3 linked regions of the Drosophila melanogaster genome follow. The protein of the gene in region 3 interacts with the protein of the main gene of each other region in a pairwise test. Each region holds a gene or a part of one and is shown on either strand. Other genes may lie near its edges. The genes, in order: CG16853, CG13984 and jagn.

Evidence for each region.
Region 1: the proteins of jagn (region 3) and CG16853 interact in a two-hybrid assay, tested with the Drosophila melanogaster proteins (one large-scale study listed by BioGRID).
Region 2: the proteins of jagn (region 3) and CG13984 interact in a two-hybrid assay, tested with the Drosophila melanogaster proteins (one large-scale study listed by BioGRID).

What each region holds. Positions count from the first base shown.
Region 1 is NT_033779.5:13,540,436-13,544,061, forward strand, and holds CG16853 (uncharacterized protein), read left to right. Parts: upstream 1-2,033; 5' UTR 2,034-2,216; coding exon 2,217-3,122; 3' UTR 3,123-3,125; downstream 3,126-3,626. Other genes in the region: CG16852 (uncharacterized protein), read left to right, coding at 365-629, 691-1,139; CG9263 (uncharacterized protein), read right to left, coding at 1,240-1,556, 1,745-2,033.
Region 2 is NT_033779.5:6,306,975-6,310,076, forward strand, and holds CG13984 (uncharacterized protein), read left to right. Parts: upstream 1-1,844; 5' UTR 1,845-1,892; coding exon 1,893-2,195; 3' UTR 2,196-2,501; downstream 2,502-3,102. Other genes in the region: CG43922 (uncharacterized protein), read right to left, coding at 1,483-1,728.
Region 3 is NT_033777.3:5,777,521-5,781,934, forward strand, and holds jagn (jagunal), read left to right. Parts: upstream 1-1,794; 5' UTR 1,795-1,907; coding exon 1,908-1,996; intron 1,997-2,279; coding exon 2,280-2,652; intron 2,653-2,714; coding exon 2,715-2,846; 3' UTR 2,847-3,788; downstream 3,789-4,414. UniProt on the Drosophila melanogaster protein: Required for endoplasmic reticulum organization and proper vesicular traffic during vitellogenesis. Required for oocyte and bristle growth.

The sequences.
Region 1 (3,626 bases), on a different chromosome or scaffold from region 3:
ATGCACTTATGCAAAATAACATTAGTGCAGTAGACCGTCATAATTGTCATATTAGACAGGAAAATCCATAGACGACAGTCGACCCTGAAGTGTCGATGGACAGCAGCTTCTGGTTTTGCCCGGCCAGACAGGAAAGGAAATTGCTTAATTTAGCGCAAAAATTATCCACTGGCCAACGAGGCTCAATTGCCGGTCTGCCATGGTCGTTTGAGGCAGATGATAAAGCAACCCTTTGCTACGAATTTTTAGCCAGACTGATTTTAAATGACAGAAATGGTAGAAAATAAATTTAACTCACACTCATGATTTTCACACGAAAAACATATTGAATCACAAAGGCAAGGAGCGACTAGAAGAACTCTACATGCTTAGTTCAAAAAGTGACACTTCTGGAGACGATATCTCTATAACTGCACAAGCAGAAAAAAGAGTGGATGATAGCATCAGAGCGCCATCTATTGGCTGGAATGCTGAGCACAAAGATGTTCAGATTCCAAGGGACCAACTAACCCACAGGCAGATCAGCAAGTGCAATTTGTTTGAGGAATACATCAAGCTCCCAAAGAGTGAATATGGACAAACAAGCCGCATGAAGCGATTCCGATCCGAAGAGTTAGCTATTAAGCAAGGTAAGATAAATGTATAATTCCGTTCTTATTGAAGGGCTAACAGCCTTTGATATCTTAACAGAAGATCAAATCGTGGAGCATAGATCATCGAGTCTTTCGCGGCTATCGGATGTCACAATCAAGCCCACCTGCGAGGTGAGTAGTCAGACTTCGTGGACAGCAGCGGACGAGAGTAATATGAATAGCAAGGATTTGGAGGCGAAGCTGGCGGCTGTACGCGGCGGTGGTATCGATCTCGAAACGGACAAGCCCAGCAAGATCCAGCAGCACACGATCCACATCGAGGTGGAGTCGGTGACATCGGCCACGGCTATGCAAAGACCCCCACTGCACCAAAGGATGTGGCAGGTCCTTGTGCAGACGGCGGATACGATTGTCGCATTCGCCTCTATAATCGGCGAGAATTTAACAGTGGCACTCTTCATTGTCCTGTGCCTGTGGTGCCTTTACCTCTTACTAAGCCACTTTTATGGCAACTTGCAGACCAATGTCGGCATGCCGTCCAAATAATTGTAATAAGAATGATTCGTTTTGCACGTGATTGTATGAGTAAAAATGCAGTAAACAGAATTAGCAGAACAGAGTTCCAACCAGCATTGCGCATTCTAATTTATCTCAACATATTGGGTGTGCAACAACACATGATGGCGAGACTACAATATAGTGCCGAAGCGAAATCGGTTAGCATATAGCAAAAACGATCGGCCAGCGGTGGTCGACCTAGTGCATTTGGAATCTGCATGGAAACGGCATCGATGAATATCGTGTGACGTGTCGATTCGCAGGGTGCCAAAGCCGGGGCAAAGTCCACAGGACAAACTCTAATGCGCCGGCGCGGCTGTTCCGTCTGCACGCCGATCGAGTGGATGTCCTTGAGCACATCGCTATCCTTCTTCCTGAAGATCTCAACATCGTCTTCCGAATTTTCTGCGGGTTGATACAGTTATAGTAACTATACTAAATAAATGCGGGTGACATCTGGTTTCACCAAAATGAAACTGTTTATGGATTTATGACAGTAGTGTTATTTTTCAGAGTTTTCAAGGACAACTCCAAGAGACAGTTCCTATCTTTTTTTTATAGATTGGTTTATGCATTATTTTGATATTTTTTACCTTCCGCCAATGCCTTGGACATCCATCCGTACCAATTCCGTTTGTTTGCTCCGCCTAGATTCGATTTTGAATTGGTGCGTACGGTGATCGAGCTGTGTGTTGCAGCCGGATCACTATCTTCCAAATCCTCAAAACATTCGTCGGCTTGAAAGCCCAAAATATCGAAGAGCCGCTGGCAGGTGTTCTTCTGCTCGGACAGTTTGCGGGGCTCGTTAACGGCATCCTGAACCAAATCGCCAATTAGCAAGTTAATGACGATCGCAGTCTGCGGTGGCTCCCTGCACGCCATTAAGTTTACAGCGTCCACAGATCAAATTTGGAAAAGTATCGAAAAATGTCTTACAAGCTACTGAAGTCAACATAATTTCGGCATATACAAAACGATGTTGACAACTATCACACCGGAACTGAATTTATCACTCAAATTTTGTATTAGCTGGTCAAAAAAATTCCCAGTTTTCAACACAACGCAATGGATAATCATATGGATAAGAACGATGAGGACAAGAGGTCGTCATCCCCGGATTCTCAACGTCAAGTTATAATATATATGCCACCCGCCGTTGAACATGGTCATGTTGTGTATCTAAAAGATGCGAATTTAGGCGCCACAGAGACGGAGGCTTCTGCACAACTCGACCCACAGGAGCATCTTTCGAATGCGGATCGGTTGGAGAACAATCGGGTGATTTCAGAGCTGGATGATGAGCCGAGCACGAGTGCTCAGTCCGCAGTTAAGGGTCAGAAATCAGAAGATGATCAGGGTCACCAGACCAAGACAGGTATTTCAAAAATGCCAGGATCTCCTAAGCAGTTGCACAATGTATTGGAAGTAATCTGTCGCTTCTCACGCGAGATTCCTGATGCAATGGAGGGCCGGGAGCAACTCCAGCCGGCAGTGATTGTCCAAATTCCAAAATATCGCGAACTGGGAACCCAGACCGCTGAGTTGCCATCGCAGTCGCAGCGATTGCGTTTGGATCTGACCGACCTGAGACCAGATCCGAATCCACCGCCCTGCGAACGCACGCTGCACACATTCACGATTAGTGGCAACAATCTGCCGGGCAATCCTCGCCAGCTTCGTCAAACGATCTGCGCGCGAATTGGACGCTCCATCTGTGATTTTGTGGCAGCCTTTTGTCTTTGTCTGCAAGTGAACAAGGATTGTGTCTTCTGTCTGGGTTTTTTTGTGGCCTTTGTGATCAGTGCCAGCTTCCTGACTGCCTTCTTCTACCGCACTCTTACCTTCTCCTCGTCGCCGGTGCGAGTGGTGGCCAATCCGGTGAGCGGCACCATGCGCTATGAACTTGCCACACTGCGATTCAACGGAGGGTACTACTACATCTATAATAGCAGCCAACAAAAGCTTCTCTAATCTAATTGGAACTTGAGTTTTATTTTGGTGCGGGTTCTTTAGCTTACATCTTAAATGTGTGATATAATGTTCTGTTAAAAATAGTGATCGAATTCTTATTGAATTTGTAAAAACTTGTATTATAGTTTAATTTTAACAAAGACTTTTTTGTATACGAGTAACACCTTTGGGTATATTCTTGATCAGGATCCCTAGCCGAGTTGATCTAGCCATGTCCGTCCGCATGAACGATATCCTTAGATTTAAAATACATGTTCTGTTTATTTTTAAGCTGCCTCAAACAAAGTCGGGTTGCGAAACTTTGGAAATGCAAGCAAACCGCATGACCAGGTTCAATCAATGGTCTTTCAGCAGTTTTACTGGTTGTCATGGACTCCAAAGTTTGCAGTTCGCTTACGCCGCTGCCGCAATGGTACTGCCTTTCTTCGCCAACTTTTTCTTGATTTTTTTTATATATTTTTTTTTGAGTTTAACTCTAGACAAAAGTCGCTCTGTATAGCGGGT
Region 2 (3,102 bases), on a different chromosome or scaffold from region 3:
TACATTTGGTTGAGCTTAAATGACGAATATGTTTGGTAAGCCGCCGCACAGTGGAGCTTGTGAAACAAAGGTCTGAATGTTGCGAAAATTATAAAAATTTCCACAGTAGAAGTAACTAAATGCCATTTCAACAAATATCTAACTAATAGAAGCGCACTAAATAATTATTTCTAAACGCGTTTGATTTTGGCAACCAAAGTACTAATTTGGGCCCACCGTGCGACGTCTGGGCCCGGAATTTCCACATTAATCTCATTTCAACCCAACCACCCACTGATGTGAACAGGGCAAAACCATAACAATATATGTACACATTCAGGGTGTACAGTTGCAGTTAAAGCTTCATTATGTACAGCATTTTCACATTATTCAATTTAAGAATTATGCACTATAAATATAATATTTTCATTTTTTGTTAAAAAATATGAGATTATTGGCTAATGGGAGTTGCGTTCGTCACTAGTCTGTAGCTCTGTTCACAGATCTTGCATAGACGGCATTAGTAACTTCTAACCGATAATAAGCTATCACAGTTTAATTATCCCTTGGCAAATCTAAATATTTTGATTTAAAGCCTTATATACCATGTGAAACGCATAAAGAACTAGAGGAAACTCTCATGCAATCATCCAGATTTTTAAAGATTCGTTTGATATCAGAGCATTTTGCTTGCAAAGCTCCTTTAATTTGAGGACGCATTTCCTTTGCCAACGCAGCGGCGCAGAAAGTTAATTTTTCTTAAACTACCTATCTCGTTGTTTCTGTTGACTTGTGTTCTTGCAATGGCAGTGCACAGTTTACCATTCGCGAAAACTTTGGCCATTTTATTGCTGGTTATTTGCTGGTTGGCTGCGCCAGACGACTACGACAAAACCAATCATCCGCTCCGCTCCCTTGGCCGCCGCTGCTTTGGGATGTCAAAATTTTAATAAAGTCGGGGATGCCACATTGGCCGACTGCCATCCACTTGGCTCCTCATCCTGGGCGGTGTCATGCATTTTTGTTGCAAAAAAAACCGACCACCGACGTTTTTCATTTTATCGAGCGTCCTGTTTATGAACTCCGCGAACTAAGCGGGCACTTAAATTGTCTTTACGCCTTGGGGGCTCGTCTTCTGCTCCTTAAGACGTCGTCCTTTGACAAAACCTCCTTCTGAGCCCCTTTTTTTGTCTCGGGTTTTCCCAGAATTACATCCTTTTGGGAGTGGAATTTTTGGTAAAATTTAGTTTATGTCGGTCTCGTTCGTTTATCTTTACTGATTGCACTTTTAGCCTCTGTTTCCTGGGGGAAATTAAAATGTACTTAGCGATGTCTGAAAAGGCGTTACCAACTTGACCTTCGTTTTGTATAATTTACGTAACTAACATTGCGCTTAATAAATTGTGTTAAGATCCTACAGTTTCAAATAAGTTCTGTAAAAACGGAAAATTAGAGCGCATTCATTTTATTAACATTTTAATTCATTTTGATAAAACATCGACATTAGTCGTTCTTTTTTACTTCGGCGGGCATTCCCTCTCCTGTATAAGTCTTCTTAGTTTCCTCGTCCCGTGTCATTTTGAACCAAACTAAAGTCACGATCCCAAGGATGAGTCCTATGATTACTCCAAGGCAAGCAACGGCAGCTATGAAGGCGACGAAGTGGACTTCCGTTAGTATGTAATCCAGTAAATCAATGATCGGTTGGACCACGTGGACGCAGACGATTTCAATGGGGTTGGGAATCATTTTGGCACTTGTGATAGATACAATACGAACTAGTTAGACTGAGAGTGAAAATCGTTCTGAGCCCTGACAGCTTTTTCACTGCTACAGATTTCTGTCGCATTTCACCTTGCAAAGGGCAGGCGCGTAGAGGAGCATCAGATCTAAAATTTTCAGTTTTTGACATTATGGAGTATCAGCACTATTTGCAGAATGAGCTGACCATTTTCCACTACCACCTACTCTTCGACTATGGAGCACCGATCCAGGTGGCCACTTGCATTGCCTTCGGCGTCGTCTGCGGCTGGATAATGAGCCTGATCACATTCGTTGTCTACAAGGCAGCAATTGGCCTGGGCGCCAAAGCCACGGCATGTGACAACGATGATAAGTACGATGATCTCGACCTGGACATGCATGGGGAGTATGGGTATGACCGGATGTTGTCCCAGTGCCAGGACCTTAGTGATTGGCTTGTGAGGACACAGTAGCTTAGACAGGATAACGCCTGAGGGGGCATTCGATTCGCCTTCTCTGTGCATGAGCCCCAATCAAAGTATCTCCACGCCACTTAGACCGTCTCGAGTGCGCTGAGTGAATTTTTCAGATACTGTTACAGTGGCAGTATCGGATATTTTCTCTGCCGTTCTCGAAGTCATTAGCATAATGTATCTCGACACTGTCATGGCCTTAAATTGAATTCAGCATGCACCGCAGGCCGTCATTTATGCAAGTTTATTTCTATAGACGAAGGCCGGAGGTTCCAAATATTTAATAAACCAAACCGTTTCTGTTTGAAAAATTCCCTTTTTTTCGTGTTGATTTTACTCAAACAGCTGGAAGCTGTTTTCCCCAATTTAATTTAACATTTTGCCTGTTGCTTTTAGAGGACCTTCTGTGTGCTCCAGCGCTTAAAGGTCAATCACTTGTTAGCAAAAAAAATGGGTTTTTAAATCAGAAATTCACAACTGCATGCTCGTAAACACCATTTTGTGCCTTGATGGGTATGTAATAAAAAATGTTTCTGAAAGTGCACGGCTTATATTAAAATAGCAACAATTCAAACAGTAGCCTATCACGCACGATTCATTTTTTAGAAAATTGTAAACGTGGGAAGCACTGTCTTCTCATGGAGGTGAAATATTCAATTTTAGATACTTTTTGCAAGTAAATTGAATTTATTTTACAACCCCGCGTCAACCAGCAAAACGACGAGCAACCCCTCACCGCAGACGATAAATAATAATCGATTTGACTTTGGTTAGAGTTTGGTCACAGTGGGGAGCCAACTCTCATGCTATACACAGTAAAAAAATATTTAAAGCAACATAAACTTTGTATTAATTCATAGCAATAAATTCGTCTGCTTTGGTGGTTGATTTAAAATTGATCTATATT
Region 3 (4,414 bases):
GACTCGGCGATGAAATGCAATTAATATGCAAGTGCCACTCATTGTGATGGTACTATTCTGGTCTATTACCTTATGGACCGAATCGCAATTATGGCGCAACTTCAACTTTGGACTCGAAAGTGTCAGCCACCGAGCTCAGCATAAATATTCGAGCGGAAATTATCAACAACTGACATTAAAATCGGAGCGGGAAAGACGCGACTTTCGGCCGGAGACGATCGCATGCGATGAAAACGCGTCCAAGTCGGAGGAATACCGCCGTAGAACTGATGACACACCCGGGCCGAATGCTCGACTTTTGTAGCGTAGCGAGCATAAAGAGAGTGCGTTGAAATGGGAAATTCATTATTTTATTTTTAAACGTCGTCGCCCTCTCTATTTTCGCAGATTGGCTTTTCCTCGCTTGTTTCTTGTTTCGTGGCAGATTGATTTATGGATTTCGGTGCAACAGGTGCTGGCCAGTTGACAGAGCGCCGAAAGTCCGCCGGACACACCCACTGCTTCCAATCTGGAAAACTGATTGGGACACAAAGCTGCATCCAATTTGCATAATCCCATCAAAGAGCACTTGCACCCAATTATGATAATTTCGGCTTGACGCACTAGGCATTATTGGCTTCGAAAAATTGGAACTGCAGTTCAAATTCAAAAACAAGGTACGGAGAAACTAAAACAAGAGGGAACGCTACAGGCGAGTTCCCCGACTATTAGATACTCCTTTCTCTGCTAGTGAAAGTTCAAACATGAATTTCAACATTTTCTGACATAGCAATAAAACTAAATTAATCTCTCTTATATATGTAGTTCCTGAGATCTCGACGTGCATACGGACGGACATGGCCAGTTCGATTCGGCTAGTGTTCCTTACCAATATATGCTTTATTGGCTCGAAAAACACTTCCTTTCACCTGATACATATTCGTTGAAAAAGGAATCTAGAATACTTCTTTTTTAATCTACGAGTAATATTTTTCATCGCGACCCGTTCATTAATCATTAATCATTACTAAATCTTACTAGTTCTGCCATTTGGTCTATAAGACATATTGGAATTGGAATGCAATTCAATTCATTTTAGTCTAGCGTTTGTACTTTTAGTAGAAATAATTCTCATATGGATGGAAGATTTCAATCGGAGTATTAAAACCAGCCCTCATTTTCTAAAATCGTGCAAAAAAGATATGAAAATTAAAGTATTAAGTGCCATTAATGCCATTAAGAATAGGTTTGGTTTTATTTTTCACCAGCCCACTTTTCAGATTAGCAATGCTAAACTCTCAGCATTACCTTTAAAAAATCGTTCTCATTTGCGACTAGTTCGAATATCTATCTACATTCTGCCGAAACTAACTAGAGAAAAACTGAAGTTCTACGTATGTAAGTATAACACATTTATTCTACACAGCATTAGCGAGGTTACACACCTAGCGAAGTCATCCTCCCAATTAAAATTTCCCTAAGCGGAGCTAGTCACCACGACCACATTGCCACTTTATTAAAACTAATAACTGTTTAATAACTGTAATAGAATAAGTTAAAATAATTAAATAATATGACTAATCACGTGTTGCTAATACAGTTAAAAGGCTAATTATTTAATTTAATTAATGTTTTGTAAACAGTTTCCATGCAGATGTATTAATAGTTTCCATGGCAGACTTTCTGAAAATGAACATTCTAAAACTTAGCGGAATTTCCCCTCTCTTTCTAACGGTTATTTGCTATGCTTTCAAGCGAAAGTAATCGATGGTAGCGAGGAGCGTATCGATGTGCGCCAGTTTTTTGGTGGCAGCGATGGTATCGCACACACATCGATTCTAGTGCCAGCCCTATTTTTTGTGCAATTATTTATTAAAAATAAGCAACGACGTGAGCGAACGACACGACCCACGAACGAAGGCAACGAAATGGCAACGCGCGGCGGACCAATGGTCGCGGGCACCGATGGCAACGACTTCGAGTTCAGGCAGCGCGTAGCTGGCACATATCAAATTAGGTTAATAACACTTCGTGCTATCGCCAGCTCTCAGCTACACTCGAAATTATCTAATTACTGGGGCGCCTGTGGCAGTAGATCCACCTGCAGGCGGCACCTACTGCAGCCGAATCGCAGGTGGCGTCCAGCCAGGGCGGCGGAGCACCCTGGAGCTGCTGCACCCACCCACTTGCTGCTGTAGGGGGCGGGTGGGCAAAGTGCCAGCTGGGCAGCATGTGCGCCCCAATATGGGGCTCACCCACACAGATCCGCCACTGAACGACCACTTTCTCTGCTCTTTTAGCCTGCTGAACAAGTCCAGGTTGAAGTACTGCATCTTCTTTCACGCCCTGCTGTTCTTCGTGATGCTGGCCAAGCTGACGTCGGACATTCTGGACCACCTGGATATCTTTGTGCTGGAGATCGAGGAGCTGGAGGTCCCACCGCCCCTGTGGTGGGAGTACGTGTGGGCCGCGTCGTTGCTCACCTCCTTCCTGGGCCTTTCGGCCGCCAGGGGCAACAAGGTGCGCGAAATGCAGAAGTATATGGTGGCCATACTGCTATTCGCCATCCTGCCACTCTTCTACTGCTTCGCCTACTACTTCTCGGACGTGTGGGAGTTCGCCACGCTGGACAAGTCGGTGGAGCTGGACGAGACAGACATCTTTGTGTGGCGCGTAAGTGGCTGGGCCAGTTAATCCCTCAAGAGCCGCCCTACTAAACCTCGGTTTTTCTACAGGGTTATCCGTACGGCGTCTTCTGGTATGCCTTCTGCTTTGTGGGCTTCCAGGTGCACGGATTTACGCTGTACTTCGCCTACAACCTGGTCAAGGCCTGGAAGGCCAGAACTGCCACGCGCAAGTTCCAGTAATCTAAATACTCGCCAAACTAGTAAACGCCGGAATGCAGGGCTAGTTGTAAATAATTTGGAAACTTGAAACTAACTCAAAACACTAGTGCACAAAAGCGTAATGAAACTATGGTAAACTAAAGTTATGCAGCTGTTAAGGTATCGCACACTTAGTCATACAGGAAGGGAAACATATGGTCGAAACTGAGCGAAGCGTCGGCGGTAAGGTTATTGTTAGTTGAAAGTTAGTTGATACCGTTTTCAAATTGATTAAATAGACTCTTATCCATATACACATGTACACCTATACACATAGACATACATATATACACACATACGCAGCCTTGTGAGGTCAACTAAAGACAAGAAGCAACTGAAGCCACCAAATTTCCCCGAGTCGGAATAAAAACTGAAAACCAACCTAGAGATCACTTCATTTTTGCTCACTTACATTTCGACGTGCCTCGTGTTTGTTAGAAACGTTTTATATATATATTTACACATGAAAATATGCGTACATCAGTTTATGTTTGCGTCCACGGATGGTTACTTCCTCGCCTAGTTGATAATTAGTTCACTTTTCTACAAATTTCGAAACCGTTTCATTTTTGCCAGTACGTTAATTTTGAATTTTATTCATCGAACCGCACAGTGCCATGCTTTAAGGCGTCTGGCCGGGTGCTGAACGTTTGAGAACTGCCCCAAACTATTTACAACCTTCTGTCACTGTTTACACACTACTATAAATAAGGATTGAAATGCAATTTGAGTGTTAAAGCAAAGTTCTTCAATTTCTGATCGTCAATAATACTGTGTAATGACAGGCATGTCGCCAAACTAAACTGAGAATTGAATTTTAATGTAATGATGTTTTTTAAATCGTAATTTATTATTCGAATTTTTAAGTAGTTTTTTAAAAATCGATCAATAAAGATGCATATATATTTGTTCTTCTGAGTGGGTTAAACATAGCATTTTATTGCGGTTGATTTAAAACAAATTTTGATAAGTATACCTATTAAGTCACTTAATGTTTATATGCTCATCTACAATATTTATCATAACTTTAAAGAGGCAAATACAAGTTCTCAAGCTTTATTTCTTGAAAAACACCACCAAATAAGGACCTTCGCCCAAAGCAATACAATCCAACACAACCCCACAGGCCGTTGCAATGCGGCTGGCAGGCCGAATTGGCCACAACAATCCAGTTTTAGTGACCATTTGTGCATCGAGGCGAGTGGAGGAGCAACAGCAGGCGAGCATTGCGCAATTGTTTACAATTGGCGACGGAGAGCCAGGAAGCTGAGACAGAGAGAGAAAAAGCTGTGGCGGAGAGCCAAAGCTTTTCCGCAGCATCCTTTTCTCCCTGCTCCGCCCGCTCTCTTAATTTTCCATTTGTACATTGCCTGTGCGAAGAACGGATGCCGAATTTTCCAACACACCATTTCGGACCGAAGTAAACACGAAAACTAAGGAAAAAAAATTGTGAAAAATTCAAAATTACGAAATTACTCGCACTAAATTTAAATAATAAACGACTGGTGGAGCAAAATGCGGGTCGAGGAGGCGACCTATAGGCGCACCAC